Macaca fascicularis: one gene and its partners. The protein of the gene in region 1 interacts with the protein of each later gene in a pairwise test. Links are inferred from orthologs where the notes say so. Each region holds a gene or a part of one and is shown in the gene's direction. Other genes may lie near its edges. The genes, in order: MTUS2, CEP95, ZMAT2, ZC2HC1C, C8H8orf34, RHPN1 and protein BEX2.

What was found.
Region 2: the proteins of MTUS2 (region 1) and CEP95 interact in binary tests that used the Homo sapiens proteins (3 or more experiments, as listed by UniProt). The two-hybrid records come from large-scale screens. The link is inferred for Macaca fascicularis from reciprocal best matches to the Homo sapiens genes MTUS2 and CEP95.
Region 3: the proteins of MTUS2 (region 1) and ZMAT2 interact in binary tests that used the Homo sapiens proteins (3 or more experiments, as listed by UniProt). The two-hybrid records come from large-scale screens. The link is inferred for Macaca fascicularis from reciprocal best matches to the Homo sapiens genes MTUS2 and ZMAT2.
Region 4: the proteins of MTUS2 (region 1) and ZC2HC1C interact in binary tests that used the Homo sapiens proteins (3 or more experiments, as listed by UniProt). The two-hybrid records come from large-scale screens. The link is inferred for Macaca fascicularis from reciprocal best matches to the Homo sapiens genes MTUS2 and ZC2HC1C.
Region 5: the proteins of MTUS2 (region 1) and C8H8orf34 interact in a two-hybrid assay, tested with the Homo sapiens proteins (2 studies listed by BioGRID). The two-hybrid records come from large-scale screens. The link is inferred for Macaca fascicularis from reciprocal best matches to the Homo sapiens genes MTUS2 and C8orf34.
Region 6: the proteins of MTUS2 (region 1) and RHPN1 interact in binary tests that used the Homo sapiens proteins (3 or more experiments, as listed by UniProt). The two-hybrid records come from large-scale screens. The link is inferred for Macaca fascicularis from reciprocal best matches to the Homo sapiens genes MTUS2 and RHPN1.
Region 7: the proteins of MTUS2 (region 1) and protein BEX2 interact in binary tests that used the Homo sapiens proteins (3 or more experiments, as listed by UniProt). The link is inferred for Macaca fascicularis from reciprocal best matches to the Homo sapiens genes MTUS2 and BEX2.

Annotation. Positions count from the first base shown.
Region 1 is NC_088391.1:9,331,376-9,335,164, forward strand, and holds part of MTUS2 (microtubule-associated tumor suppressor candidate 2), read left to right. Parts: intron 1-1,944; coding exon 1,945-2,043; intron 2,044-3,166; coding exon 3,167-3,286; intron 3,287-3,789. UniProt on the Homo sapiens protein: Binds microtubules. Together with MAPRE1 may target the microtubule depolymerase KIF2C to the plus-end of microtubules. May regulate the dynamics of microtubules at their growing distal tip.
Region 2 is NC_088390.1:71,115,912-71,119,700, forward strand, and holds part of CEP95 (centrosomal protein of 95 kDa), read left to right. Parts: intron 1-2,477; coding exon 2,478-2,590; intron 2,591-2,778; coding exon 2,779-2,908; intron 2,909-3,789.
Region 3 is NC_088380.1:147,174,710-147,179,262, forward strand, and holds the start of ZMAT2 (zinc finger matrin-type protein 2), read left to right. Parts: upstream 1-1,725; 5' UTR 1,726-1,739; coding exon 1,740-1,757; intron 1,758-2,097; coding exon 2,098-2,191; intron 2,192-3,286; coding exon 3,287-3,410; intron 3,411-4,553. UniProt on the Homo sapiens protein: Involved in pre-mRNA splicing as a component of the spliceosome.
Region 4 is NC_088381.1:143,017,891-143,022,286, forward strand, and holds the start of ZC2HC1C (zinc finger C2HC domain-containing protein 1C), read left to right. Parts: upstream 1-1,532; 5' UTR 1,533-2,461; coding exon 2,462-3,793; intron 3,794-4,396. Other genes in the region: ACYP1 (acylphosphatase-1), read right to left, coding at 620-786, 1,011-1,262.
Region 5 is NC_088382.1:78,285,642-78,290,026, forward strand, and holds the start of C8H8orf34 (uncharacterized protein C8orf34 homolog), read left to right. Parts: upstream 1-1,420; 5' UTR 1,421-1,688; coding exon 1,689-2,015; exon of another isoform or gene 2,016-2,125; intron 2,126-4,385.
Region 6 is NC_088382.1:153,042,962-153,046,998, forward strand, and holds the end of RHPN1 (rhophilin-1), read left to right. Parts: coding exon 1-95; intron 96-413; coding exon 414-759; exon of another isoform or gene 760-1,172; coding exon 1,173-1,367; exon of another isoform or gene 1,368-1,411; intron 1,412-1,844; coding exon 1,845-1,921; intron 1,922-2,143; coding exon 2,144-2,290; intron 2,291-2,378; coding exon 2,379-2,540; intron 2,541-3,006; coding exon 3,007-3,222; 3' UTR 3,223-3,381; downstream 3,382-4,037. UniProt on the Homo sapiens protein: Has no enzymatic activity. May serve as a target for Rho, and interact with some cytoskeletal component upon Rho binding or relay a Rho signal to other molecules.
Region 7 is NC_088395.1:109,688,328-109,692,185, reverse strand, and holds protein BEX2, read left to right. Parts: upstream 1-1,569; 5' UTR 1,570-1,976; coding exon 1,977-1,991; intron 1,992-2,140; coding exon 2,141-2,219; intron 2,220-2,593; coding exon 2,594-2,985; 3' UTR 2,986-3,228; downstream 3,229-3,858. UniProt on the Homo sapiens protein: Regulator of mitochondrial apoptosis and G1 cell cycle in breast cancer.

The DNA of each region.
Region 1 (3,789 bases):
ATCTCTTGAATCTGGGAGGCGGAGGTTGCAGTGAGCCAATATCAAGCTACTGCACTCCAGCCTGGGTGACAGCGTGAGTCTCTATCTCAAAAAAAAAAAAAAAAAAAAAGAAGTAACTGGAAAAGAGAACAAAAAAAGAGGAAAAGGAACCTACTCAGGGAGCTTGCAGACCAGGGTCGTCCACCATAAGAAAGCAAGCAGTCAAGCCAGTGCTTCCCATGTTAGTGTCACTGTGTACACTTACTAGCATTCACAATATCGCCTCCCATTATTTGGCGGATGAGGCCATTTCTCTTGCCAGAACAGTCCACGGGAGGCTGGGCACGGTGGCTCACGCCTGTAATCCCAACACTCTGGGAGGCTGAGGCGGGTGGATCACTTGAGGTCAGGAGTTCAAGATCAGCCTGGGCAACATGGCGAAACCCTGTCTCTACTAAAAATACAAACATTAGCTGGGTGTGCTGGTGCGCACCTGTAGTCCCAGCTACTTGGGAGGCTGAGATGGGAGGATCCCTTGGATCCCTTGAGCCTGGGAGGTGGAGGTTCCAGTGAGCCGAGATCGTACCATTGCACTCCAGCCTGGGCAACAGAGTGAGACCCTGTCTCTCTCTCTCTCTCTTTCTCTCTCCTTCTCTCTTTTTTTGTGTGTGTGTGTATCTGTATATCTGTATACTTTTTTAGAAGAGTTAATGGGAGAGCCTAGTTTCTGTGTTTTGATATTATAGAAATGGTGCTGGGCAAAGAGCTTTGGACTGGTCTGCATGAGTGAGACATGAAGGGTGAAGCTCTCCTTGGGCATCAGCGGTCCTTTGCCAGCCTGTGGTCCTGAGAGTCATGGCGGGAGCTGAGTGGGGCAGGGTCAGTGCAGGTGCATCTGCGCTGGGAGCTGGGGAAGGGGTGCAGTGTCTCCATAGACACCCTTATATTCCTTCAACCTGCAGGTGGAGAGTGGCCAGCGGCCTGCCTAACTGGCAGGCATGGGAAGGCTAAGGGCTGGGAGCGCCAGTCTGGCCACGGGGCGGGTCTGAGCAGGGAGGAGGAGACTGTGTGGAGTTGGCTTACGTGGCAGCTCCTATCAAGGACATGCAACCCAGTCCTGAGGCCGGGAAGGCTGTGTGGGAGCCAGAGTGAAGCGGGAGTGAGAGGGAGCTGGCTGGAGGAAGGCACTGGCAGCAGGAGAGCTGGCACAAGAGGAAAGGGAGGCAGCGAGGCTGGGAGGACGCTGTGTTAGGGAGCGTGCACTGCAGCTTGAGGGCAGTGGGGTAGGAGAGAGGAGAAGGACAGGTTCCGGTTTGCACGTTAGAAAGAGTGCCTCACTACATGTAGTGTGAGGGCAAAGGAGTGATCATTCAGAAAAAAACAGGAATCGTCTCAGAAAGTAGCCAGCAGAGTGGCCGGAGCTCAGGGGAGTCTGTGGGTTCTAGGGACATTCAGGATGGCAGGACTTGATTATGGACTTCGTGATGAGAAGGTTTGGTGATGTGGGAGGGGTCCCAAGGGAGAGAAGGAAGTCAAGGAGGGCTTGAAGGGTTCTGGATTGAGCTTCCTAAATGAGAATACATCTTTGAAATACGTTCATCGTGGTCCTTCCCAAAGCCAGGGGCTGGGTGCCTCCTGGACAAGAGGCGCCTCTGAGGATTCTCTCTGAGGATTGTCTGCCTCTGTGGGATCAGAGGTTGTGAAACGCCCCCGGCTCACTGTGCTTTTGTGGTCTCTTCCTGACAGAGCACCAAGGAGGAGTGAGCCGAGGGCAGACGCGGGGGGACACCCTCCTCCATCGTGTGGCTGTGGGGGTTCCCCTTTGGCACCTCTTTCTCCAGCCCCCAGGGAAACGCTCTGAGGGTGCTCAGGGCACAGTGGTGGCCCACTGATCACAGCTGCCCAGGCTGTGGTGGCTGCTGTCTGTAGTGGCCCCAGCTGGACTCCTTGTATCATTACTTGCAGGACCAGGTGGACACGCTGACCTTCCAGAGCCAGTCTCTGCGGGACAGAGCCCGCCGCTTCGAAGAGGCCTTGAGGAGGAACACAGAGGAGCAGCTGGAGGTAGTTTTCCAGGCTTCCAGCCCCGCAGGGACCCCGCCCCAGCGAGGCCAGCGGGGCTCCCTCAGCAGTCCAGTCCCGAGACAAGGCCTCTCTGTGAATCCACTGCTGAAGTGACAGCTGGTCACGGCCTCCCCTGGATTTTTAAACAATTGCTGTCAGCACCTCTCCCCTGAGACAGACAGCAGCTGTGGGTTTCTCCAGCGACGTGTTATTTTTGCCAAATTCCGCAGCATTCCCCAGCTGGAGTCCCAGGGCTCCTGTGATAAGCATGGTCTGGAAACCCCCACCCTGGCCCGGCCACCCCTTCCAGCCCATTCTCCCGGCCCGGCCACCCCTTCCAGCCCGTTCCCCCGGCCCGGCCACCCCTTCCAGCCCGTTCTCCCGCAACTTTTTAGGCTGACGTGGGGCAGCCTTGGCTGCAGCATGCGTTAACAGGTTGAGGGGAATTTTTTCCAGAAAAGCTGGCAAAGTTCCTTCCCTCTAATGTAGGGTTGCCAAATAAAATACAGGACACCCAGTTAAATTTGAATTACAGATAAATTTTTGAGTGTAAGTCTGTCCCATGCAATACTTATACTGAATTTTTTAAAATGTCATTTATCTGAATTTGGATTTAACAGGACCTACTGTATTTTAATTTGTTACATCCAGCAGCACTACCCCAACGTGACTTTTGTCTAAAATGGCTTTTCTGCTTCTTAAACCACTTGACTCATTTCCTATGCATGGGCTCTTTACGGGCATAGGTGAGACCTGTAAGAGTCCCAGCTACCTCGTGAATCAAGTCTTCCGGGTGAATGTTAAAAGCCAGTGTTGGGTTTACTCTTTCTACCCCATGAGCTCCCTGCTGGGCATAGGCTGGCAGCACCCAGCAGTTCTGGAGTCAGACTTTCCAGTGGACGATGGCCGTGTCTCACCTGCTCCCCCACAGAACTGGATTTTAGGAGGCTTCTCAGTGGGAAACTTTATCAGGGAAGGCTGTAGCATCCTCTCTCTTTGGTGTCGCAGTTGCCATCAGGGCACTTGTCCCAGGAGGATGGATTTAGCTGGATTCGTGGTATTGGTTAATACTGGGTTTTGTCGGGAGCCCTGGTCAACAGCTCATGGCTCTCTGCCCCTGTAGATTGCATTGGCTCCTTATCAGCACTTGGAAGAAGACATGAAGAGTCTGAAGCAGGTATTAGAGATGAAGAATCAGCAAATACATGAGCAGGAAAAGAAGATTCTCGAGCTGGAAAAGCTGGTGAGTTGGTCCATTTGCTCGCGAGAGTAACTAACCTCCATGACATTCCTGCTGTCATCACTGAGGTCATCGTTGACACTGAGGTGTTCAGCCAGGTGTGTCTGTTACCTGCCCATTGCTTACACCTATGCAGAAAATCCCACCGCGGGCCTTTCCCAGGAAGCCAGGAGCTCTCATAAGGAATCTTGGAGGTGGCCTTATCTTGTCCAACTCTGGAGCCTTTCTGATGGGTGGCCTCTTTCTGCTTTGCGCTGGTTTTCCCACAGTCCTGCTGTCTCCTTGCCCTCTCTTGGGGACGTGTGGTGACCCAGCACAATGCAGCATCCCCAGTGCCCAGGCACTGCACGGAGCACTTTCCCCGAGCCTGCTCCTAACTACTACAGCTGCCTGTGGAGGAGCTGCCGCCCCCAGCCGCTTTACAGATGCGGAGATGGAGCTAGGAGTCCTGGCCCAGTGCTTCGGGTCCTCACAAGGCAGAAGGGGCCAGGGATCTCCCTGGGGCC
Region 2 (3,789 bases), on another chromosome or scaffold:
TAGCTACGATATTTATTGTGGGGAAGCTGATATAGACAGGGTAAGGTTACACAGCAGTTACAGAGTCAGGATTTGAACTTGGGCATTCTGGCTTCAGAGTCCATATTGTGTCCATAATTTAATAATTTCAAATTTAGAAAACACAGCGTGGAAAAGAAAATAACCATCCATGCATATTCCCATTATCCAGCATGAACCACTGTTCATACCATACTGGCTTATTTGCTTCAATTGCAGTGAGCTGAGATCATGCCACTGCACTCCAGCCAGGGTGACAGAGTGAGACTTCATCTCAAAGAAAGAAAGAAAGAAAACCCTTTTTATTTAGTCATCCTGTCCCTATCTTTTTAAAATTAACAGGACTGGGTTCGGTGGCTCACACCCGTAATCCCAGCACTTTGGGAGGCTCACGTGAGCACCAGAGTTGGAGACCATCCTGGGAAACATAGTGAGACCTTGTCTCTACTAAAAATAGAAAATTAGCCTGGAGTGGTGGTGCATGCCTGTGATCTTAGCTACTTGGTAGGCTGAGGCAGGAATTCCTTGAGCCCAGGAACTGCAGTGAGCTGTGACCACACCACTGCATTCTAGCCTGGGCAGCAGAGCAAGACGCTGTCTCAAAAAGAAAAAAATAAAATAAGAAAACAACAGGCAGGTATATACACAAGGTAGACATATAAACAGTGATACGTTCTCATTATTTAAACATTCAAGCAATGCATTAAAAGTACAGAGATGAAATAAGCATTATTAACATTAGGTGACCACATTCTCAACATTCTATGCATCTAAAAAGTAGAGTGGATAAAAGAGGGGTTAAAATGGAGTCATAAGATAATGTTTACTTTTCGGAGAATCATAGTGGGAGTTTTGGAGATGGTTCTGAGCTGGTAATATTCTGTTTCTTGACCTGGGTGGCAGTTAAATAGGAGTATTTATTTTGAAATAATTAAGCTAGAAATACTGTATTTTAAAAGTTTCATAAAAATAAAATTATGTTGTTTGTTTTATTTTTTTTTGAGACAGAGTGTCGCTCTGTCGCCCAGGCTGGAGTGTAGTGGTGTAATCTGCACCCACTGCAACCTCTACTTCCCAGGTTCAAGCAGTTCTCCTGCCTCAGCCTCCCGAGTAGCTGGGACTACAGGTGCACATGCCACCACACCTGGCTGATTTTTTTTTTTTTTTTTTTTTTTTTTTAGTAGAGACAGGGTTTTGCCATGTTGGCCAGGCTGGTCTCAAACTCCTGGCCTCATCCGCCTGCCTGTGCCTCCCAGAGTGCTGAGATTATAGGCATGAACCACCACACCCAGCTTACTAAAAGGTATTTAATTTTACTCTAATAGAAAAAGATAATGAAGTTGAAATTAAAGATATCAGTAAACATTAAATAAGTGGCCAGGTGCAGTGGCTCACGCCTGTAATCCCAGCACTTTGGGAGGCTGAGGTGGGTGGATCACGAGGTCAGGAGTTCAAGACCAGCCTGGCCAAGATGGTGAAACCCTATCTCTACTGAAAATACAAAAATTAGCCAAGCACAGTGGCCGGCGCCTGTAATGCCAGCTACTGTGGAGGCTGAGGCAGAAGAATCGCTTGAACCCAGGAGGTGGAGGTTGCAGCGAGCCGAGATCGCACCACTGCACTCCAGCCTGGGTGACAGAGTGAGACTCCATCTCAAAAACAAACAAACCAAAAAAAACATTAAATAAATGTTTCTTCATCACAAGAAGTATCTTCTAAAAGATGATCTCTAAGACTAAGAAATAAATTTAGCTGGACACGGTAGCTCATGCATGTAATCCCAGCACTTTGGAAGGCTGAGGCAGGTGGATCACCTGAGGTCGGGAGTTCGAGACCAGCCTGGCCAATATGTGAAACACTGTCTTTACTAAAAGTAAAAAAAAAATTAGCCGGGTGTTGTGGCACATGCCTGTAATCCCAGCTACTAGGGAGGCTGAGGCAGGAGAATCACTTGAACCTGGGAGGCAGATCGAGCCTTTGCACTCCAGCCTAGGCAACAGAACAAAACTCAAAAAAAAAAAAAAAAAAAATTTAAAATGTTAAGGGTTTATATTCATATTTTGGGAGGTATTGTCTTTGTTTTAACTGTTTCAATTTTGGACAGCCTTTATTGACGTCAATACAAAAGATAACCACTTGAATACTCTGTACTAGTGGTAATTTTTTTGTTGCCCAGGCATAGTGGTAATCCCTGAAATTTCTTATTTAGAGAACACCTGGCCTGTCTTTTTATTTGAATGGCATCCTGAGCCACACTTTTTCTCTGAGCCCAGATTTCTAGACATTGCTCCAGTTCTTTGGTGCATTGAGTGTCAATAGGGTCTTTTGACAAATGCACTTCAAAACGGAGGTTGAAGGCACGTAGCTTTGTGCCACAGTTCCTCCCTTCCTCACCCCCAGAAAGTTCATGTTTCTTATTTGTAGCTTTTTCAAATCAACTTTTTTTCTGTTTTTAATAGGATCTAGATGACAGAGTTTTCTTAACTTCCAAGTTGCCGAAAGACAGCAAAGAGGAAGTGTACCCAGCTCAGGTCCAAGGGCCTAGGACAAGGAAGCCTCCCAAAGGAAAAAGGTAACATTACTGCAGACTTAAGTGTTTACAGTCTGTTTGCAAAGAAATTTGAAAATGCAGGGGCATAATCTCCAAATTTAGCTGTGAAGACCAGAATGAAATATTTGTTAAAGTATGTATTACAGTTATTTTAAACTAAATAATAGACACCTAGCTATTTTAACTGTCAGATGGTCACTTAATTACAGAAATGAAAACAGAGCTACAGCCTCATCCTGCAATTCACCTTTTCCCCAGAGGCCAAGAAAGAGATTAACAGAACAAGAATTACATGATGTGTCAGAGAAACTCTCTCAGCGGCTCTCTGAACTAGATTGGGCAAGTCTTGTTTTTTCATCTATATTGAGATTCCCATGGCTTAAGTGAACATTTAAATAATCTCTCAGTTGAAAGTGAGGTATTAGAAATATAGTTGTGTCTTATTAATAGTTACTGTGAAAATGTTCTGTAAATCAAGCAGACGGAACAGGAAGTGATCTCTCAGCCTTTCATGATCTAACTAAATTTAGTGCAGATTTATCCAAATTTTACTGAATTTTGATGAAAACTAAATCATTTAACATAAATGATTGTGTTAAGCCATTTTTCTTTAGATATATCTATATAGTTCCCCTTTGCTGCAAAAGACAGGTCTGGTATGAAATTGGATGGATCACTGATTCTCACAAAATACAGTATTACAGTTTTAAGGTATCATTGAATGAATGTTTTAAATCCCTATGTGACTTAGTCAAAACTTTATTGAAACTTGGTGATCCATAGCACTGATCTACACCTTTTTAAAACTAAACATGTATGCCAGGTGTGGTGGCTCACACCTGCAATTCCAGCACTTTGAGAGGCTGAGGCAGGCGGATCGCTTAAGCCCAGGAGTTTGAGACCAGCCCGGGCAACATGGTGAAACCCTATCTCTACAAAAAGTAAAAAATTAGCTGGGCTTGGTGGCATATGCCTGTAATCCCAGCTACTCAAGTGGCTGAGATGGGGGATCACTTGAACCCAGCAGGCGGAGGTTGCAGTGAGCCCAGCTAGCACCACTGCACTCCAGCCTGGGTGACAGAACGGGATCCTGTCTCAAAAGTGAATAATTAAACATGCATAAGCATCTGAAAACTTGTTATTAGTGACTGTCAAAGGAAGCTTTTTTAAAGGTCTGCCTACTCCTGCGAATTTACATTCTGGTGAAGTCAGTGAAAGAT
Region 3 (4,553 bases), on another chromosome or scaffold:
CAGCTTTGTTTGAGGACAGATGCTATCCTAAGGGCATGGCAGTACCCATGTTGATTTGACATCTCTCTAGCCCATGCATTGCTAACAATAGAAGAGTGGGGCTGTATGCTTAATAATCTTGAACATTGAACTTAATAGATGACTTGACAAGGTGGAGATCTGATATTTTGAGATTTTGGAGACCATTTCCTGTGCCAGAATCACTGCTCTAACTATTCCATGCCATGCCATGGAGGCTGTTCTAGAAGTGGTTGGATAACATGTTAAATAAAATATTAAGTGTAGTAGTTTGGGTAATTTGTTATTGTTATCAAGGGCTGGGTTTGCATAGACTGTAGAAAATGCTTGAGTGTATACTGGAGAATTGTGTGAGGTAGGAGTAACCTCCCTGGGATGATGCTTCTGTATTCAGTGATGAGCAGCCAGTTTCTCCCTCTTTCCCCGTCTGCTCAAGAGGTAGTTTTTTGTTTTTTGTTTTTTTTTTGAGACGGAGTCTCGCTCTGTCGCCCAGGCTGGAGTGCAGTGGCCAGATCTCAGCTCACTGCAAGCTCCGCCTCCCGGGTTCACGCCATTCTCCTGCCTCAGCCTCCCGAGTAGCTGGGACCACAGGCGCCGCCACCTCGCCCGGCTAATTTTTTTGTGTTTTTAGTAGAGACGGGGTTTCGCCGTGTTAGCCAGGATGGTCTCGATCTCCTAACCTTGTGATCCGCCCGTCTCGGCCTCCCAAAGTGCTGGGATTACAGGCTTGAGCCACCACGCCCGGCCTTTTTTTTTTTTTTTTTTTAGATGGAGTCTTGCTCTGTCACCCAGGCTAGAGTGCAGTGGCGTGATCTCGGCTCACTGCAACCTGCGCCACCCAAGTTCAAGAGATTCTCCTTCCTCAGCCTCCCAAGTAGCCAGCTAATTTTTGTATTTTTAGCAGAGACAGGGTTTCACCATATTGGCCAGGCTGGTCTTGAACTCCTGACCTCATAATCCACACCTCAGCCTCCCAAAGTGCTGGGATTACAAGCATGAGCCACCGCGCCTGGCCAAGAGGTAGTTTTATTGCTAAAAATCAACATATAGTGAGCCGGTATGCCACAGTGCTTCACTCTAGAGTGTTGTTGATGACTGGCCTTTCCAAATCCAATTAATGCTGATTAAATTATGTTCTACTATAAAGTTCCCCAGGTGATGGAAAAATGAGTGAAGTAAAGTGTGATAGCATTGCTTCAAGGAAAAGAGCACAAGTGCAAAACATGCTTTTTATATGTGCGTCGGGAAGGGTACCTCTGTTGCAAACGCTTCAGTGTAGTTTAGGGTCATATCGCTAGTGCATGCAGGTGAATGAGAGGCATCTAGACCCCCTAATGGCGCTTCGGCCTTAAAAAAGGTTTACGAATTCTTGGCAGTGGACGCAAAGTTGTTAGACTAGATCAGAGACCACAGTTTTTCGAACCTCAGTTTCCTTGTTTGTAAAATAGTTGAACTAAATCTTGACCCTTCAATGCTTGTTTTGAAACCCAAGGCAAAAAACGCTTGCAGGCGCCCTTACTTCCGTGTTGCTTCATACTCCTCTTGCGCCTGCGCTGTCTCCTTGGAGCAGAGGCGGGGCCAACAAGCCTGTTTTAGAAGCCCTCCAGTCCTTACCTCGTTTGGAACACAAGACTCCAAGCTTATTGGAGGGCCATCTTGCCTTACGGCTCCAAGCCGCCTTTTACGGCATTTTTCAGCTCGCCATTCACTTCGCTGTGAAGATGGCGTCGGGCAGCGGGGTAGGTGTTGTGTCTGAAGAGGAGGTTTTGCGGGGTGGGGAATGGTTTTTCAGACCTGAATAGAGACAGACTCCTGCACCCGACCGGCTTTCCGATATCTCCTCGAGATCGCAGGGTCCAGGTTCAAGAACTCCCCCGTATAGGCCTTGGAAAAGGGTCAGTGGAATCATGGAGGTTTCTCGGGTTGGGGGTCCTGAGGCTACCCCAGCCTTCTCATGCAGTCCAAAGAGGCTTCGCTTTCAAAAGGTCCTGTAGCTGCCTGGACCGCGAGGGCGCGGTTCCCTGCTTCTTTAGGGGTCCGGACACGGCGACGGATCTTGACGCTTTTTCCCCTCCACAGACAAAAAACTTGGACTTTCGCCGAAAGTGGGACAAAGATGAATATGAGAAACTCGCCGAGAAGAGGCTCACGGAAGAGAGAGAAAAGAAAGATGGTGGGTGCTAACTACATCAAGGGCTAAGGGTATCACAGAGGCGATGCGATGATGGAGAGCGGGTGGGAGTTGAAGTGCGCTGCCTTCCCACGCGGTTAAGCTCTGGCAGAGTGTTGCTTCCCTCGGCCTAGGTTTCTACATTTACAAAATGAGAGCGAGGAGGTGGGCTGAAGTAAGTAGTTTTGAGATGCTCTTCAGCTCTGTTTTACTCCGCTTCCTTGCCCACCCTTTGCTTGGCTCGTTTAATGCTTTCCTGAAGTACAGAGAAGATAACGGAATCCTTTGTAGTGACAGAGAAGTGTGGAGTATTTTGCTACTGTGCATTACCGCTGTCAGTGACTCCCCTCTTTCCCTTGAAATTTCTTAAGGGAGAGAACATTCTGGCCCAATCAAGACCCTCCCATATAGTCTGAGAAAAGCCGGGGTACTTTCCAGGATCTGTGATTGTTTCAGCTAGTGCTTAGCAGTGCTGTTTCTCTGTGCCTTGGACGTCAGGGACTTGGTGCTTCTCTCCTGGTTAAGAGATTGCATAAAGAAATGTCTTGTTTTGTCATCTGTTTCAAACGTGTACATTCTTCTTTCCCTTTACCTCCAGGCCACCTTGCATTCACTAACTCTTTCAGTTTTTATGTAACATGTAAAATAAATAGTGCTTGACATGTAACAGGCATTTCCTAAATGTTGGTCACCTTTTATAAATTTGCCCAGCTCTCAGAAGGTTCCTTTCTGTTATGCCTAGGGTATCTGCCTGAAAGCATTCTTGAATATCCTTGCTTCTGTTTTGAAAAAGTTGCTTCTACTAACACTTTAGAAATTCTCCCCCACAATTCAGTTAATCAATGAATATAAAACATACTGCTTTTGGATTGGCTGGCTTTGAAGTGGAGAAAAGCTGTAGAGAATTGGGGATTGCTTATGATTTTTTCCTGTGTTGAGATTCTCCCCAGCTGCTACTTTAAGTGTCTGTTGCGTCCTTTCTTTCAGGAATCATTTTGAAATGAGAGTAGACCTGAATTTTGGGTTTCATGCATTTTTTTTCCTTTCTGGTTGAGGAGCTATAATATTGAAGGAACTTCCTTCCCCATTATGTTTCAGGAAAACCAGTGCAGCCTGTCAAGCGAGAGCTTTTACGGCATAGGGACTACAAGGTGGACTTGGAATCCAAGCTTGGGAAGACAATTGTCATTACCAAGACAACCCCTCAATCTGAGATGGGAGGGTAAGTTGCTTATCATTTTTCTCTGCAGCCAAGAATGCATCTATTAAGCCACCGATTTTGGTTTTAGGAACTATTGAGGAAGGTCCTTGGCCCCAGGATTATGTTCTTCTTGCCTGTAATTCCATCTTTATATTTGTTTTTCTGTGTCTCCCAAGGTCTCAAGTTGACATGATAGTGTCTCTAGGAGTGGTCACTCAGTGGGCTTCTTCATATTATTAGCATTGGCTGGGCACGGTGGCTTATGCTTGTAATCCCAGCACTTTGGGAGTCCAAAGCAGGAGGATTGCTTAAGCCCAGGAATTCAAGACCAGCCTGGGCAACACAGTGAGACCCTGTCTCAATTAAAAAAACAAAACAGACAAAAATCATACTAGCACTGCAACTACTAGTAGTAGCACTACAACTACTACTTAATACATATTTTAAATTTTTTTTTTTTTGCTGGCTGGGTGCGGTGGCTCACCACGCCTGTAATCCCAGCACTTTGAGAGGTCGAGGCGGGCAGATCACGAGGTCAGGAGATTGAGACCATCCTGGCTAACAAGTGAAACCCCGTCTCTACTAAAAATACAAAAAATTAGTTGGGCTTGGTGGCGGGCGCCTGTAGTCCCAGCTACTCTGGAGGCTGAGGCAGGAGAATGGTGTGAACCCGGGAGGCGGAGCTTACAGTGAGCAGAGATCGCGCCACTGCACTCCAGCCTGAGCCACAGAGCGAAACTCTCTCAAAAAAAAAAAAAAAAAAATTTTTTTATTGCCATTATACTTGTTATCAATTCTGATTTACTATTAATATTTTAAAAGGGATTATTTGATCTGTCAGAGGAAGAAATGAAGGAAGGTGCTACTGAGGAGATTTCTAGGGGAGAAATTAGGTAGAGCCTAGGAGTTGTTAATGGTGAAGAAGCAGGGTGTGAGGTTCCAGACTAGCTGCAAAGGCTGTAGTTGTTATGGATGCCTGATTGTACACGTTCTTCCAAGACTGTAACCTGTAGGAAGAAGGGTCCCACAACAGCTTGTCACCCTTTTGCCCCCCACTGCTTCTCTCTCCAGTTAGGTTTTCTAGCAGGAGAGCAACACAGATAGCAATGAGTGACACTTCTCTGAGCTGCTTAGTAAACCCACTGTTGTCCATTCCTGTCTGTA
Region 4 (4,396 bases), on another chromosome or scaffold:
TAACATGGTGAAACTCCATCTCTACTAAAAATACAAAAAATTAGCCAGGTGTGGTGGCAGACGCCTGTAATCTCAGCTACTCGGGAGGCTGAGGCAGGAGAATCACTTGAACCCAGGAGGCGGAGGTGGCAGTGAGCTGAGATTGCGCCACTGCACTCCAGCCTGGGCAACAGGGTGAGATTCTGTCTCAAAAAACAAACAAATTTTAAAAAACCCTCAAAACCAACAAAACAGAAAACAAAAACAAAACGCTGGGGTAAAGTGATGGAGTCAATTCCCGGAGGGTACTGAAAAGCACTAATTCAAGAGAACTCATGGAAAGTGGCCCTTCTTTCTCATAGAGGAGAGGGAAGGAGAGAGGGAGAGAGACAGACAGAGACAGAGACAGACAGAGACAGAGAAGAAAGGGAGAGAAGGAAGAGGAGAGAGAGAGAGAAAGAAAGCCGGTACATCCTGCTGAGGGAAGCTGCGGGAGTTGATAATTGGGACCCTGAGTAGAGTGGGAAACATCTGGAGCTGCATATATGTAGAGGTGGTGCAGGCAACAAGGGATGAAAACGAGGAATTAAAAAAAAAAGAAAAGAAAAGAAAAAGAAAAGAAAAAAAAAGAAGGACTGACCTGGAGGGTCCACCAAGGAATTTCTTTGTAACAGGTAACAGCTGTAATATGACATGTTGAAGTATTAACACTGATGACTGCTTGTCTACATTATTTTCCAAGTGCATGAATTGAGTAGTTACAGGGAAAAAGCGAACTGCCTGTTCCCAACGTCCTACACAGATGAACTGAAGCGAAGAAAAAAAAATAAACTTTCTTTTGATGTCAACAAGTTACAGAGTATCATTTACTGTTGAAACCAGGTTATACTGATTATTTTCGATCTGGTAGTTCTTTATTATCATTACACTTGGCTGAGTCATTCCTACGCCCTAAGTACAGACGGCTAGAGTTACCACGTGAGAGTAAAACATTATAATATCAAAATAATTAGATTGGCCACAAAAATTACCCCGGAAAGATACTGCGTAGCAAAAACGTTGGCAGCAAGTTCCAAAGACTTGGCGACGACAAGCAGGGAGCGCGCACGTGCAGCCATACCTGGGGCCCGCCCAGCGCAGCCAAGCGCGCCGAGAAAGGTCAGCAGCAGCCCCGCTCCCACCAGGCAGGCGGTCGCCTGCACCCTGCGGCGGAAGCACGCGGAGGCACAGCCAGGGCCTCCGCCCTTTGCCAGTGAAGGGCACACCCCAAGGTCTGGGAGCATCGTTCTCAGGAAAGTACAAGTTCTTCTTTGATGGAGCCCCAGAAAAGCCTCTCCCGCCCTTCCTCGGCTCCCCAAGGGCAGGGCTGTACCCGGCTGCAGAGTTGGCCGGACACTGACTGGGTCAAGTGACGGTCGGGCTGACCGCACCCCCCACCCCCGGTCGCCCCGGGTCGCTGGTGCACTGCGCCTGCGCACGCCTCCCCAAGGAGTTCGCAGCGAGGGGCGGAGCTTGGCCCGCCAGTAACTCGGTCTCCAGGCACCGGGAATAACAGAAGCTAGCTGAGAGCGCCTGCGCGGCCGTCGGTTGAGGGGGAGGTCGGGTCTGGGAAACTAGGCCCTGGGGTTTCCCCTGAGCAGGAGCGGTGCCCGAGGGCCTCAGGTACGCAGAAGGGCGGGGAGACAGAGGGTCAGCACCTCCTAAGGGCCCGAAGGGCAGGAGAGAGAGAGGACTTGTCCCCAGAGGCGGAGTCCGTAGTGGGGGCGCCCCAGTTGACCCTTCGGGACAGAACGTGACTTCAGCCTTAAGGATCTAAAACCGGCTGCAGCCAGGTCAGGTGGCCCTCAACGCTCAGGTTACAAAACTTTTACCGTCTGCGCCACGGGGACTCCTGGGATGAGGGTTTGACAGCCAGGCACCTGCTCCAGGCCCTAGCAGCCTCTGTGCTCTTTTGAATCAAGCACGGTTCCAGCAGGAGGGAAGCCCTGAGAGCTCTTTGTGCCAGTCACTACCTCTGGGCCACAGCTTGCTCACCTGTAAAATGGTGAGGATGGACTCGGACGGAACCCTTCAGTTTACAGGTGAAGAAACGGGGGCCAGCAAGGGAGAAGTCGCTTGTCCTGTTACAGGCCTAAAACCTGACTTTCAATCCGATGCTCTTTCCACTTACTGTAGAGTATACTGTGCGTGGCAGAGGCTGGTGCTGGAGGAGAGGAGAGCTAGGTGGCAGGAACACCTGTAGCACCTCCGTTTCTCTACCCTCAGGGCCTAACACAGTGTCTTGTGCATAGTAATCACTCACCAAATGGTTTTTGAAGGGAAGCTTTGGCAGATCCAGCACCACTGTCCCCAGAAAAGTTTAAGGAAATGTGGGCAGGGCAAATGTTGAAATAGTTTGCTTTAGCAGACGAGAGTGAACCTCAGACAAACTCTTCGCATGTATCTGGTTTAAATCTCCCGTAGGCATCAGTCCAGGCCCTGAATGGCTGGTCTCCAGCGGTTGGCATCACATCTGCCTGTGGGCGTTATGCTTCCACATAATACAACAGAAGCTCCAGGGCCCCACTCAGCCAAGCAAGACTCTTACGAACAAAGTGACTCTTCCCAGCAGTCCTTGAAGGGGCACCTGAGGAACAATTTCCAGAAGCAGCTTTTGAGCAACAAAGAGTTGACTCTGGATAAAGTCCACACTCACCCCAAATGGAACACAAAAGCCCGGAGCTACTCCTATCCCCACTGTACTGGAATCAGCCACCAAGATGCAGGAAGTGATTTCCAGGGCCAAGGAAATGGTTTGTTTTACTCATCAGGCCCTCAATCCTGGTATCCCAAAGCCAATAACCAGGACTTTATCCCCTTTACAAAGAAACGAGTTGGAGTGGACCGGGCGTACCCACTGAAACCCGTGGTCCACAGGAAGTCGTGCAGTACAGGTGAGTCTGGCACTGATGGGGACCAGAATGTCTACCCAAGGCCCCCTGAACTGAGAGAGTTTTCATCCAGGAACTTTGATGTGAGGAACCAGGTCAACTTTTCTGTGGTTGATCCTGTTCTTGCTGCCATGCAGGCGGAGAAGGCCTTGGCAAACTTGGACAGGATGGAGTGGGTGCAGATCCAAAGACTAGAAGCTGCAGGGGAGAGCTTAGAGGAGGAAATCCGAAGAAAGCAGATTCTCCTGAGAGGAAAGCTGAAGAAGACAGAGGAGGAACTCAGAAGGATCCAGACGCAAAAGGAACAGGCCAAGGAAAATGAAAACAGAGAGCTACAGAAAATTATATTCCCCAGGAGCAGAGTTAAAGGTAATAACAGCAACACCACGCACAAAGCTGTCTTCTCCCCAGAATTTGATTTTGAGGAAGAATTTAGTAGAGACAGGAGAGAGGATGAAACTTGGGAACGGTCTCAACAAAATTCGAGTCCATTCCAGCTCTCTGATTATAGAATCCAGAGACTCAAAAGGGAAAGGCTGGTAGCAAGCAATAACAAAATTCGAGACCGAGTCTCAGAGCCGTCGATGGAGAAGTTCTCCCCGCCTTCAGAAACACCAGGCGGTGCTTTGCAGGGATCTGCCAGAAATTCCAGCCTGTCCATGGCACCAGACTCCTCAGGTTCCAGCGGCTCCACTGAAGAGCCACAGCTGGGTGAGTGCAGCCACTGTGGGCGAAAATTCCTCTTGTTCAGGCTGGAGAGACACTCCAACATCTGCAGCAGGATGCAGGGTTCCAAGAGGAAAGTGTTTGACTCCTCCAGGGCCCGGGCTAAGGGCACAGAACTAGAGCAATACTTGAACTGGAAGGGGCCAGCTTCAGCCAAGGTAACAAGAGCCTTATGGATGTGACTTGGTGTGGGGATCATTGTAGGGGTCTGTTTTGTCATCATCAGTTTTCTTTAGGGAAAATTCATGTGTCATGTAGGAAGAATTGACGTCTAGAATTAACATTTCTTGATTACTACTGTATGCCAGCATTGTGATGGGAGCTTTGCATGTGATCCTCGCATTTATCTCTCATTTTATCAGTTCAAAAATCAAGACTTGGACAGGCTAAGTAACTTGCTTGAGGTCACAAACAGCTTTAAGTGGCAGAGTCAGCATATAAATCTTGGTTAGAATGACTAAAAAATCTAGACTAAGAATTTGTGTCCTTTGGATTATAAAAGTAATAAAAGTTTACTGTAGAAAATTCAAAAGACACAAAAAATCGAAAGAAAAAAAATGCAGGCTTTTGTCACCTGGAGAGAACGCCTCACTCTTTGCAATGTATTCTGCCACCTCCCAAGACTAGAATCTGTGAGCATTCCTTTAACTATGTAGTCTGTTAAGATTAGCTCAGTGTTGGCCGGCGCGGTGGCTCACGCCTGTAATCCCAGCACTTTGGGAGGCTGAGGCGGGTGGATCACGAGGTCAGGAGATCGAGAC
Region 5 (4,385 bases), on another chromosome or scaffold:
AAGTGCAATAGTCTGAGCATGGTGAAGACTTAATAAGTATCTTTATTTCATTTAAAGAAGCATCCTCCTGATGCCTCTTTGAAGAAAAAGACTCTTGATTTCAGGAAGGGTACCATCTTGGTGCCCTTATGTGGTATCAAAAATAGTAGGCTTTTTAGCTGGGTGATAGATGGCCTTCCTTATGGCTCTACACTATACCTTTTAGCAAATAGAAATGTTGGTATTCACTCTGTTATTTAATTTATCCTGGACATATTAAAAAATACGTAAGTAAATATACCTTCGAACCACAATGGAAAGCACAAGGCAACCCTGGGCACCTCACTGTTGTTTAATTTAACTCTCCCTAGGCAGATCATATGAGTCCAATTTAAAAGTATTAATGTGGACATCTTTCCACCCTGGATCATGTCCATTTCAGGTTATCAGGGATGGTTAAGCTCCTAGCTATTCTAGCAGATTTCTTATATCTTAATATAGGAAATTAACAATAGTTCCTGGGATATTCCACTATTATCTAACTATTACATGTTTCCACATATTTAAAATACAGAAGGAAAGCATGAACACCAATAAAGAAACTATGAGTAACAGAAATTCAGAACACAGTGAAGAAAGAAAGAAAGAAAATATATACTGCTGCAGTCAGCTTTTAGGAAAACTATTTCCATCATTCTGAACATCATATTTATTAAAAATAAATCTAATTTTGGCAGCATATCATGATTAGGAGCCAGGGAAATCGTCATTGGGACCTCAGTGTTGTGTTTCACAAGAAAGAGAGCTGTGAGGAAGCCTGGGCTATCTGCAAATCTTCGACTCTGAAATCCCTGCATAATAAGAAAGGTATTGGCTAAATTCGAGCAGCTCATGCAGTATCTAGAGGAAACATTGTTAAGTGGGATAGTGTGGCGTCTAAGATGCAGTTTTAGGTATACAGACATGACTCAAGGAGTGGATTAGGAAGGCCAACTTCGGAGGGGAGGGCTGGCTCGCTCATTTCTCTTCTCCCTGTCAAATGCTGAAGGGCTGGTTCCAGCCTTTGAGCGCCCGCACTTTGGGAGTTTTCAGCTGGGTTCTCAGGCTGCATTCACCCGTCGACTTGCTCCAGGCCAAGCCAGATTTTGAAAACGAAGGCAACTTCTTTTTTCGCGGCAAACCCTTGAACCCACGCACTTTCTCACAACTCTGGCCTTCTCAACCCCTGCGCTAGTGTAGGCAGGGCAGAAGGCGCTGAGGAGAGGCTCAGAAGGGGCGGTGGGGACGATCGCCTTTAGAACTGCATTTGTAGCTGCCAAGGAGTAGCCAACAAGCACCAGATTTATGTGCACTTTGAAAGAAGCACCTTCACCATTGGCTTTTTAAGCGGCGCTGTCGCTAGGGAGCGGCTGGTAGAGCGAGCAGCCTCGGGAAGAAGCCCGGGCTGTTTGTTCCCGTCACCTGGGAGAGCAGGCACACACAGTCGCGCGCGCACGGACACACACACACGCACGCACAGACGCTGGCGGCGAGTTCGAGCCCCGCGTCCCCTGTCCGCCCGCGTGCGCCCCTCGGCACGGCTCGCCTCCCGCCCCCTGATTCCTGCTGCTGCCGCCCAGAGGAGAAAGGAACCTCTGCCTCGAATTTCCCCACTGCGCCGGGCGCTGCGGCTAGCGGCGAGGGTGGACGCGAGGCGGAGAACGCGATGAATGAGTTCTCCCCTAGCCTCGGAGTTGTCTGAGTTGGCGGCGCTGCGCCCAGGCTTCCGGCTCTCAGCGCCCCACGCGCGCGTGGCTCCCCGGGCTGCCACTCACGGCCGCGGCCGGGGCCAAGCCAGCCACGCAGGGCAGCCGAGGCTCCGGAGCTCCTGTCCCGGCCCCAGTCCGGGTAAAAGGAGGGTTGTCCCCAGCGGAGGCGCACAGCCGCGCGTTCTCTCCGCACTCTCTCCGCGGTCCCATCTGCTCCCCATGGCGTCTCATCCGCAAACCCGGATCCAGGCTTACCTGGAGAAGAACAAGATCGGTCCCCTGTTTGAGGTAAGGCGCTGTGGAGGAGGGTAGTCCCGTTGTCTTTAGGGGAAGGGGTGCAGTAATGAAAACAGAACACCCCCCACCCCACCCCTCCCAGGGAAGGAGGGCTAGAGAACGAACGCGCGGGAGGGGGCGCCCTGGGGTTCACTGGCATTCGCTCTGTCCCGGCCAGGTGTCCTGGAACGCGGCCGGGCGGGCACTTAGCCAGTTACCTGAACACAGACAGGTGAGCTTGGGAGGGCCCAGCCTCAGCCTGGCAGCGGAAGTTTGAGCCCTCTGACTGTCGTGCACCTCTCAGCCACATGTTCAGTACCCGGGCAGGCTGAGGCAGGCGATGCATACGGATGCACACACTCAGACGGTGTTGCACATACACACTTTCTTTCTTGAATTCACGCTGTCTTGCGTGTTCGTGTTGGATTTTCTTTTTTCTTTTTTCTTTTTCTTTTCTTTCTTTCTTTCTTTCTTTTTTTTCTTTTTTTTTTTTTTTTTTAATGAGGGCGGTAATAAAACCCGAAAAGGCGGAGGAGGTGCTTAGCAGTTAATACGATTAACTGGAAGAAAGCTGAACTGGTGAGGAGTAGGCTTCAGTAGGTGCGGGCGTGATGAATGAAACTGGCAAACTGAGAGACTGCCATTGGTCACTGGACGAAAGGAGAGGCCTTTGCACTGCAGACCCCACATGTGTTAGCAGGAGAAAGGGACAGAGAAAGGTTCTGAAAAGCACACACGTATTTATGGAAGGAGACTATAGCTCTGAGCTGGTGTTTTTTTTTTTTTTTTTTCCTCGCCATTAAAGAATTGACAAAAATACAGTAGAAGAAAGAGCGGGAGGACATGAGAAAATGAGAACAAGAGATTGAAGCTTGGCACCAGTAAAGCGTCCCGCGGGTTGCCAGGGTGCTGGGCAGGGGTGGGGCGTGCGGTCCGTGGTCAGAAGTGGAGGCCCTTGGGGAGAGAATCCCATGGTCCCATCCAGTTCAGGGGGTACTGACCAGCGGCGAGAGTTAGCGGGAGGGGCGAGGTGCTCCCGCCTTGCCCCCGCCCCCCACGTCTCCCAGAAGCAGTTGTAGCTGTTCTTGGTCTTGGGTGAGGGCTTGGGGTGGGGATCGGGGGAGGTTACGTGTCAGCGTCTGAGAGAGGCAGAATCGCGGCTAGTGGAAGAGGCTGCATTGGAGATCGCGGAGAACCTAGCAAAGACTGAAGAAAAGCAAGTGAGAACTGCGGAGAACAAAAAAATAATGCGAGTTAATGACCCTGCAAAAAAAGGACGAGGAGGACAAAGGTGTGGTCGAATAGGTCTTTTGGGAGGACTGGCTTCACATAACAAGATTTGCAAGATCTCCCAAGTTTTTCTGCCGAACTTTACCGATGATCTGTCTTGGACGATAGGACCATTGTTTCAAGTGAAGCTCACATTGTGGGGTGCAGAGTCTTACAATTGCTTTGATTCTTTTTTCTGCCAAAAATGTGAACAAAGGCAATCCATGCAAGAGCGAAATAAAATTGATGGAGCTACCAGATTTCTTTGCCTTTAGTTTAATGATTATTGATTATACATAATCCTATATAATTTTTAAAAGGCAGAAGCATAAACCTTCTGCAACGCGGTGTATTAATTGCATCAAAAGAATCATAAAATAAATACATTTAGAATGTGTGTTTGCTCTCTACACTCGTAGAGTATAAAGTATAATTAGCCTGACAGAATAATCGAATTGTTTTTAATAAATACTGTTTTCATTTGTTATTTTAAAATCCTCAAGATTCTTTCCAAGTGATAACAACAAAATTAGGAATATATGTAAACTTTCTACAGAATTAGAAAATAAACTCAAATGGATATTTATCAAGTACCCCCTAACCCCCACCCTTTAATACTCACCAGCAAGTTCTGCGCTGAAGAATTTTAAGTGACAGCAACATGTCTCATAAAAGCTTTAGGTCCAATCACCAGAAAACAAGCACCACCATGCTTCATATTTTATTGAATATGTATAACATACACTGGCATTAGCTTAGATTGCAGTGGTGAGGAGTGCGTTTTTAAGGTTTGATGTTCACTTTAAATAATTGAAGGGAGAAAAATGGATAATAAATTCTCTTTTACTAAAAGCCGGATGTAACACAGTTCCTTATGCAACAATTTTGATTACGATAGAGCTTGATTTTGAGAGTACAATTATATGTATTTCACAAAATTGGAGGATTTTACTAGCATGTAGCCTATCTTGTTTCATGTTAGAAAACCAGTGAAGAAATGCCACCTGTGAAATGGACATTGTTTACCTAGGGACAGTTCTCTTCTAGGACCTTACTCAATAGTTTTCACAAGAATTGATTTGGGTCAGAGGAGGCGCCCAGCAATCTGAACGT
Region 6 (4,037 bases), on another chromosome or scaffold:
CCCAGGAATGTGTGTTTGAGGGTCTCTCACCCCCTGCCTCCATGGCCCCCCAAGACTGCCTGGCCCAGCTGCGTCTGGCGCAGGAGGCTGCCCAGGTGAGCTCGGGCACCCGTGTCAGGGTGCAGGGGGTGGGGCCGAGCTGGGGCCAGAGCCCAGGTCCAGGCAAGCGTGAGCTCTCCCGCCTCCTTCCTTGTGTGTCAGCCCCAAGCCGGCTGTTGTCCTGCTCTCTGGGGGGCTGGTCAGGAACCTGGGCGCCCAAGCCTCTGCCTCCAGGGAATGGCATGAAGCGGCAGGAACTGGGGTGCCAGGGAGGCTGCTGGGATGGTGGTCGGAGCGGGTGGAGGCTGGGTAGGGAGAGGCAGTCACCACCGGAGAGCGGGAGGCCCTCGCGTGCCTGCCATGTCCACTGGCAGGTGGCAGCCGAGTACAGACTAGTGCACCAGACCATGGCCCAGCCACCCGTCCACGACTACATGCCCGTCTCCTGGACTGCCCTGGTGCATGTCAAGGCCGAGTACTTCCGCTCCCTGGCCCACTACCACGTAGCCATGGCCCTCTGCGACGGCTCCCGTGAGTGCCCACCGCACTTGCCCATGATGCTGCAAAAGCCCCCCGCTCAGGGCTCATGGCCTCTCTGTCCCCCAGCAGCGACCGAGGGAGAGCTCCCCACACACGAGCAGGTCTTCCTCCAGCCCCCCACCTCCTGCAAGCCCCAAGGCCCTGTGCTGCCACAGGAGCTGGAGGAGCGCAGGCAGCTTGGTAAGGCGCCCATGGATGGAGGGCCCTGGGGGCTCAGGTGGTCACCAACAGTGGCAGGGTGTCCCCCACCACACTCACGCTGTTTGCCACCTGGTGTCCCCATGCTAACGAGTTGGGCCACCTACCTATCCCTGGATGCCCTGTGCCTGATGGGTGACGGTCCAGCACAGGGGCCCCAGGAGTGCTGGCAGCCTCTGAGCAGGAGGGAGACCCCTGGGAGCAGCTTGTCCCTGGCCCCTGCTCTGTATGAGGCAGAGCCCTCCTGCACAGCCAGCTCCTCACCCCTGTGGCATACGCCTACAGCAAAAGTGGCTGTGATGAGCCCCACAGCCCTGGCTTTGCCCACTCCTTCTGCCACGTCCCAGGGCCCACAGGCCCACATGGTATGTGACGTCCCAGTGCCCCGCGTACAGGCAAGGCACACCTGAAGCGCGCCATCCTGGGGCAGGAGGAGGCGCTGCGGCTGCACGCCCTGTGCCGCGTCCTGCGAGAGGTGGACCTGCTGCGGGCTGTGGTCGCCCAGACGCTGCAGCGCTCACTGGCCAAGTATGCGGAGCTTGACCGTGAGGATGACTTCTGTGAGACTGCCGAGGCCCCAGACATCCAGCGTGAGCAGCCAGGGCCTGTGTGGGTGGCTGCATCCCCGGCCAGGGTGGGGGCCTTCGTCCTGGAGAAAGGGAGGCTGATTGCCTTAAAGATGCAATCGCCACGATGAATTCAACAGCAGTAGCACTTTCCAGGCCGCAATCTCAGGCCCACAGAGCTGCCGGGCCCTTCAGGGGCCTGGGGGATGGCCACGCCCCTCAGCCCCTCCCTCCCTGCACTGGCCTACCCTGAGGGGAAGCCCACAGACCCGGGACAGGCACACCTGGGACTTCAGGGAGGGATTCTGGGAGCCACTTGTGGCAGAGGAGGCTATGTGTTCAGGGCACCTGGGGCAGCTCCCCCCGCCATTGCAGTGCGGCCAGGCCAGGAGGTCAGAGGCAGGGCCTGTGTGCGCTCGGGGTCATGCCCTGCGCCCTGGAAAATCCCCGGGGCAGGTCTCCACAGGCTCCCAGCTTAGCTCTGCTCTTCCGCCCTCTCAGCTAAGACCCACCAGAAGCCAGAGGCCAGGACGCCGCGCCTGTCCCCGGGGAAGGGGCCTGACATCTTCCATCGGCTGGTGAGCACACCCGTCCCCAGACACCCCCAGCACGGGCAGCTCGGGCTGCGTGGCTCTGACCAGCACGTGGCCTCAGGCCGTTGATGGCGGTCCAGCCCTGCCCACCCTCCTTGTGGAACCCCACGGCGTCCCTCGGTGCACAGGTTGGATGGACGTGCTGATTAGGCGGGGTCTCCTCAGTGTATGACCCAGTTGGGCCTCTGACCTCTGAGCCCCCGCCAGGGGCCCCTGTCTGTGTTCTCAGCCAAGAACCGGTGGCGGCTGGCGGGGCCCGTCCACCTGACCCGAGGAGACGGTGGCTTCGGCCTCACGCTGCGGGGAGACTCGCCTGTCCTCATCGCTGCTGTCGTTCCAGGGAGCCAGGCCGCGGTAAGGGCCCCACCGGCCCCCTGAGGCTGAGTCCCCAGTGCCAGGCAGGGTGTCCTGTCCCCGCCTCACCATCCAAGTCTCCCCACAGGCGGCCGGCCTGAAGGAGGGTGACTACATTGTGTCAGTGAACGGGCAGCCGTGCAGGTGGTGGAGACACGCAGAGGTGGTGGCGGAGCTGAAGGCTGCGGGAGAGGCGGGTGCCAGCCTGCAGGTGGTGTCAGTGCTGCCCAGCTCTAGGCTGCCCACCTTGGTGAGCCCTGGGGGCCCCGGAGGGGTGGTCCCCAGCCTGCTGTCCCCACCCTGGCCCTGGGCGTGCCCTGGATGCTTGAGCAGCATTGGGAAGGGGAGGTGGGGCTGCGGGTAACCCTCCCCGGGCCGCCTCCTGGGCAGGGGCCACCTGTGCTGTGGCCTCCATCTGAGGGCTCCTGCCCTGACCCCGAGGATGCTGAGCCCACCCCTCACTGGGCCTCTGTATCCTCAGACTGGAGGCTTCTGGGCCAGGTGCTCCATCCCAGAAGTTTCATCTACCCAGCATGGTTGAACCAGGGTTGGGTGAAACCCGTGGGGCCCCTACTATGTGGTCACCCTGATGGGAGCCCCCAAACAAGCCCCCGTGTGCCAGCCCCTTCCAGGTGGTTCTCACCCCTCCCAGACTGGCTGCAGGTGGGGACAGGCCAGCAGTGGCTGACCACAGTCTATCTCTGTCCCTGCTACAGGGGGACCGCCGACCCGCCCTGCTGGGCCCCAGGGGGCTTCTAAGCAGCCAGAGGGAGCATGGCTGCAAGACCCCGGCATCCACGTGGGCCAGCCCCCGGCCCCTCCTCAGCTGGAGCCGAAAAGCCCAGCAGGGCAAGCCTGGAGGCTGCTCCCAGCCCCGTGCCCCAGTGAAGCCAGCTCTGCCCTCATCCTCGAAGTGCCCAGGGTGGCTGTGAGGGCCAGGCTCCCTGCACACCTCAGCCCTGGCTCCAGCTGGTGGGAAGCACCAAGCATGCCCTCCCCACCCAGAGGACCTCTGGGCAATGCCTGCCCCGCCTCATGCCAGAGGCTGCCTCGGGCACCTGCCTGCCCATTAAAGACTATGGTCAGACCTGTCTGAGCCCAGTGATGGGAGCTGTGGCCTCTTCACCCACACACAGGAAGGGTGCCAGTCCCTCTGCCGGTCTGAGGTCAGCTTCCTGGGGCTGCCCCACCCTGAGGGCTCCTCACAGGAGGTGCTCCTCACAGCCATCACGTCTGTGCCCCCGGGCTCTGTCCACCCTGCTGCTGCCCTGGGCACAGACCCTGAGGTCTCAGTCCTGCCTCCGGCCAAGTTTCTGCCTGGTGCCCAGTGACTCCTGCTGGGCACCCCTTCGCTCGCTGCCCCTCCACCATGCCACCATGCAGCAGCCAGGCACACCCACAGCATCCACAGACCCCTAGGCCGGGTCCCAGACACGGCCTTCCCTGAAAATACCTCCTGTTGTCCTGTCTGTGCATAGAGCAAGGGACTCCCCACCTCTGCACCCTGTGCTGGTCACCCCGGGCCCTGTGCTGGTCATCCCAGCAAGTGTCCCCTTTGCCCAGGAGTCCCCAGTGTCGTGGCCCAGGTCTCATGGTGGCCCTAAGCCTGCCAGCCCTGCTGCCCACCTTGCTGTCCTGCTCCGACCATAGGTGCCACCCTCCAGCTCCTGAGCATGTCACCTCTCCCCGAGCCTGGGGCCTGCACGGGCCCCCAGCCCTCCCCAGCCTGCTTGCGCCGCTCCTGCGG
Region 7 (3,858 bases), on another chromosome or scaffold:
ACTTATTGGGCTATAATTTACATACAATAAGATACACACCTTTTAACTATATAGTTCAATGATTTCAACAAATGTATTTATCAATGGAGTCACTACCTCATTAAGATACAGAATGTTTTCCTCAGCTGAGAGAGTTCCATTATGCCTCTTTGCAATCAGAAAAACCCCAACTTTCAAGCCAGGCAAAAACTGATTTGATTCAACTTATATCAGTACAGATTAGTTTTGCCTGTTTTAGAACTTATATAAATGCAATCATGCAGAAAACAATTGTGGCTGGTGTCTTTATAGATACAATTTTTTTTTTCATTTTTTTAAGATTCATCTATGTTACTGTTTGTATCAGTAGCTTGTCACTTTTTTATTGCTTAGCAGCTTTAAAATGTATGAATACATCACAATTTGTTTATCAGTTCACTTGTTGGACATTTAGATTTTTATCAACTTTGGGGCTATCATAAAGGAAATTTCTATGAACTTTCCTATGCCAATATTTTTGAGAAAATATGTTTTAAAATCTGTTGGGAAAATTCCAAAAAGTGGAATTTCTAGGACATATGGTAAGCCTAAGTTTAACTTTTTAAGAAACTGCCACCAAGTCTTGGAGTGGTTGAACCCCTCACCAACAATCAATGAGAGTTTCTATTGTTACTATTTTCAAAAGTGCTTGGGACTGTCAGACATTTTAAGTTCAGCAATTATAATGGGTGTGCAGTGGTTTTTCATTCTGGCTTTATTTTACATTTCCCTGATAGTTAATGAGGTTGAGCATCTTTTCATGAGCTCGTTGGTAATTTGTGTATGTAGTTTTGTGAAATGTTTATTCAAATCTATTATTTGCCTTCTTGAGTTTTCGAAGTTCTTTATATATGCTCTGAATTCAAACCCACTGTCAGATACACATATTGTGAATATTTACTCCCAGCTTCTCACTTCATTTTCTTAACCATGTGGTTTAAATGGTAGTTTTTAATTTTGATAAATCCAATTTCTCATTTTTTTTTTTGTGATCTGTTCTTTTTCTGTCCTAAGGGATTGTTTTCTCAAAGATTATAAAGTTTTTCTCTATGTTTTATTCTAGAAGTTTTCTAATTTGAGTTTTTACATTTAGGTTTATGACCATTTTGAATTAATTTGTGTATAGTATAGATAAAAGGCAAGGCTCCTGTTTTTCCTTTAAGAATTCTGTTATTTCAGCACCATTTGTTTAAAAGACTATACTTTCCATATCGAATTACTTTGACATCTTTGTCAAAAATTAATTAACAGGCAGAAGGAGGTGAATCCTGGGAGCCAAGGGCAGAGAGAGGCAAGTCCCCAGAGAAGTGGGAATGGCCAACAGCTCCCTGAGAAGATGCCTTCCGTCCTTCCTGGGCAGGCAAGGGAAGTCTCAAGAATACACAAGAGAAGGGAGAGTGGCAGAGCCCAGGCTGGGGATGTTAAAAGGGACTCACGGTGAGGATGGGGGCGGGCCCGAAAGTCCCACCTGACTCCAGGCTGCAGGAGGGAGCGTGGGACGGGGGCGGAGCCGCTGGCGATGACAACAGCCCCACGTGATCGGCCAACACTGAGTCTTGCCTCGCTCTGGCGTCGGAGCCGCCGTCGCTCGCTCCTTTCTCGGCTGTGGTACCTGTTCCCGGTGGCCCTGAGGACGTGCGGGCCAGGTGCGGCCCCGAAAGCAGGAAGCGGAGGGGGAGCAGGTAAGGGAGACGGAGGGGGTCCCTGGGGTTGGTGTGGGGGAGCGGCCCCGGCCTGCGGATGCCCCACCCCCGAGGAGCCGCGCTGAGACGCAGCCGGTGCACGATGCAGCCCCGGGGCCCCGCCGCGGGACCGCTAGCCTTTAGTGAGCGGAGGAGTGCCTGGCCCCGCGGGAGCCGGCGGTCCTGAGGCTGCGGTCCTGAGGCTACGGCCCTTCTGAAGCACCTGCCTCCGCCACCAGCGCAATCTTTTCTGAGATCCCTGCTCCGCCCTTCTTGATGCAGAAAATGGTGGTCAGCTTGGGGGGCGGGGCGGCTGAGGCGCGGGGAGAGGGCGGCGAGGAGGGCCCGGGCCCGGCGCGGGGAAGGGGCCGGGTGGCGGCGGGTCCTCGCTAGTGTTCCGCTGCAGCAGCCTCCACTCTTCCCACCCCGGCCGTCTGCAGGTCTGCGAGGCTAAGTGTCGAGGCGACGCACCTCACGTCGAGAATCGGGAGGAGGAGGAGACTGCAAGGATAGGCCCAGGTCGGTGCGAGGGACGGTGGCGGGGCGGGGGTCAGAACATGACGAAAGCCCAGTCTGGGACCCCAGTCGGTGCCTTCACTGCTACGCTTCGCAATCCCCCACCCCCACCCCTTCTTCGTCCTCCATTTTGGCGCCTGCAGAGGCCTGGAGATGGATCTGCAGAGAAGATGGTGGGCTTTGCGGGAGAGAGGGGCGCGGACTGCCCCCCCCCACCCCGAGGGTACACGGGGCCTCTCTGATGGGAAAAAAAATGAAATTTAAAAAAGGCCTTTGAAATCCAGGGCTCTGAATTTTGAAAGGTGGGTAGTCGGGCCTCTGTCCTCGGTGCTGATCAGTTCACCAAGAATTGAGTCCGTTTTCTCTCTGTCTCATAGGAGTAATGGAGTCCAAAGAGGAACGAGCGTTAAACAATCTCAACGTGGAAAATGTCAACCAGGAAAATGATGAAAAAGATGAAAAGGAGCAAGTTGCTAATAAAGGGGAGCCCTTGGCCCTCCCTTTGAATGTTGATGAATACTGTGTGCCTAGAGGAAATCGTAGGCGGTTCCGTGTTAGGCAGCCCACCCTGCAGTATAGATGGGACATAATGCATAGGCTTGGAGAGCCACAGGCAAGGATGAGAGAGGAGAATATGGAAAGGATTGGGGAGGAGGTGAGACAGCTGATGGAAAAGCTGAGGGAAAAACAGTTGAGTCATAGTCTGCGGGCAGTCAGCACTGACCCCCCTCACCATGACCATCACGATGAGTTTTGCCTTATGCCCTGAATCCTGATGGTTTCCCTGAAGTTAATAGGGAGACCCCAGCTTCCTAAACTTACACATTTGTGGTGTACCTTTGTCGTAAACCTTTTGATGTTACCTATTTCTTGTGGGTCTCCTATTACCAGCTTCAAACTGAATGTTGTTTTGACCCAGTTTGTAAGTTTCTGTCAGCAGGGGAGTTTTACCTACTGCATGGAAAGATGCTCATTATATATTGTGAAGTTAATAAAACAGTTTTAAAAACCATTCTCTGCATTCTTTTTTACTTTAAATCTTAAATATGAACATAAACAGTCATATATGTACACATATATACACATATATAGAAAATCGTGTTTATCTTTGTGGTAGAATTAAGAGGGAGTTTATTCTTGCGTATCCATAATTTCTTATTTTTTAAAATGGAACACGTATTACTTATAAAAAGCAATGTGACCACCTTATAAAAGCAATGTGAGCACTTAATAAACACTTGTGACAGAATCTCAATTTTAACTTGCTTCTGGGATCTCTTTTTAGAAATGTTTGAGAGACACATCTCTTTGAAGATCATAATATTTATCAGTAAGATGAAGACAATCACCTCCCAGGCTTATTGTATGGACCAGAAAAGGTAATGAGGTTGTAAGCTTTCTCCCAAGTTCTTGTTCTTACTGACATGCATGACCCAACCCTTTAGATATTCCCTTCTGTTATTAGAGGAAATCTCCAAGGTGAGGTCTTCCCTATATTCACAAGTCCAGTGGGCTAAGGAGTAGGTACTTTCATTCCTCTGCTGCTGTGCTCTATTCTCATCATCTCCCCTGGGTATTACTCTGTTTTCTAGGTTTTGCTCCCTACACTGGCTCCTTCCACTGCAGATGTTCAGGAATCCTC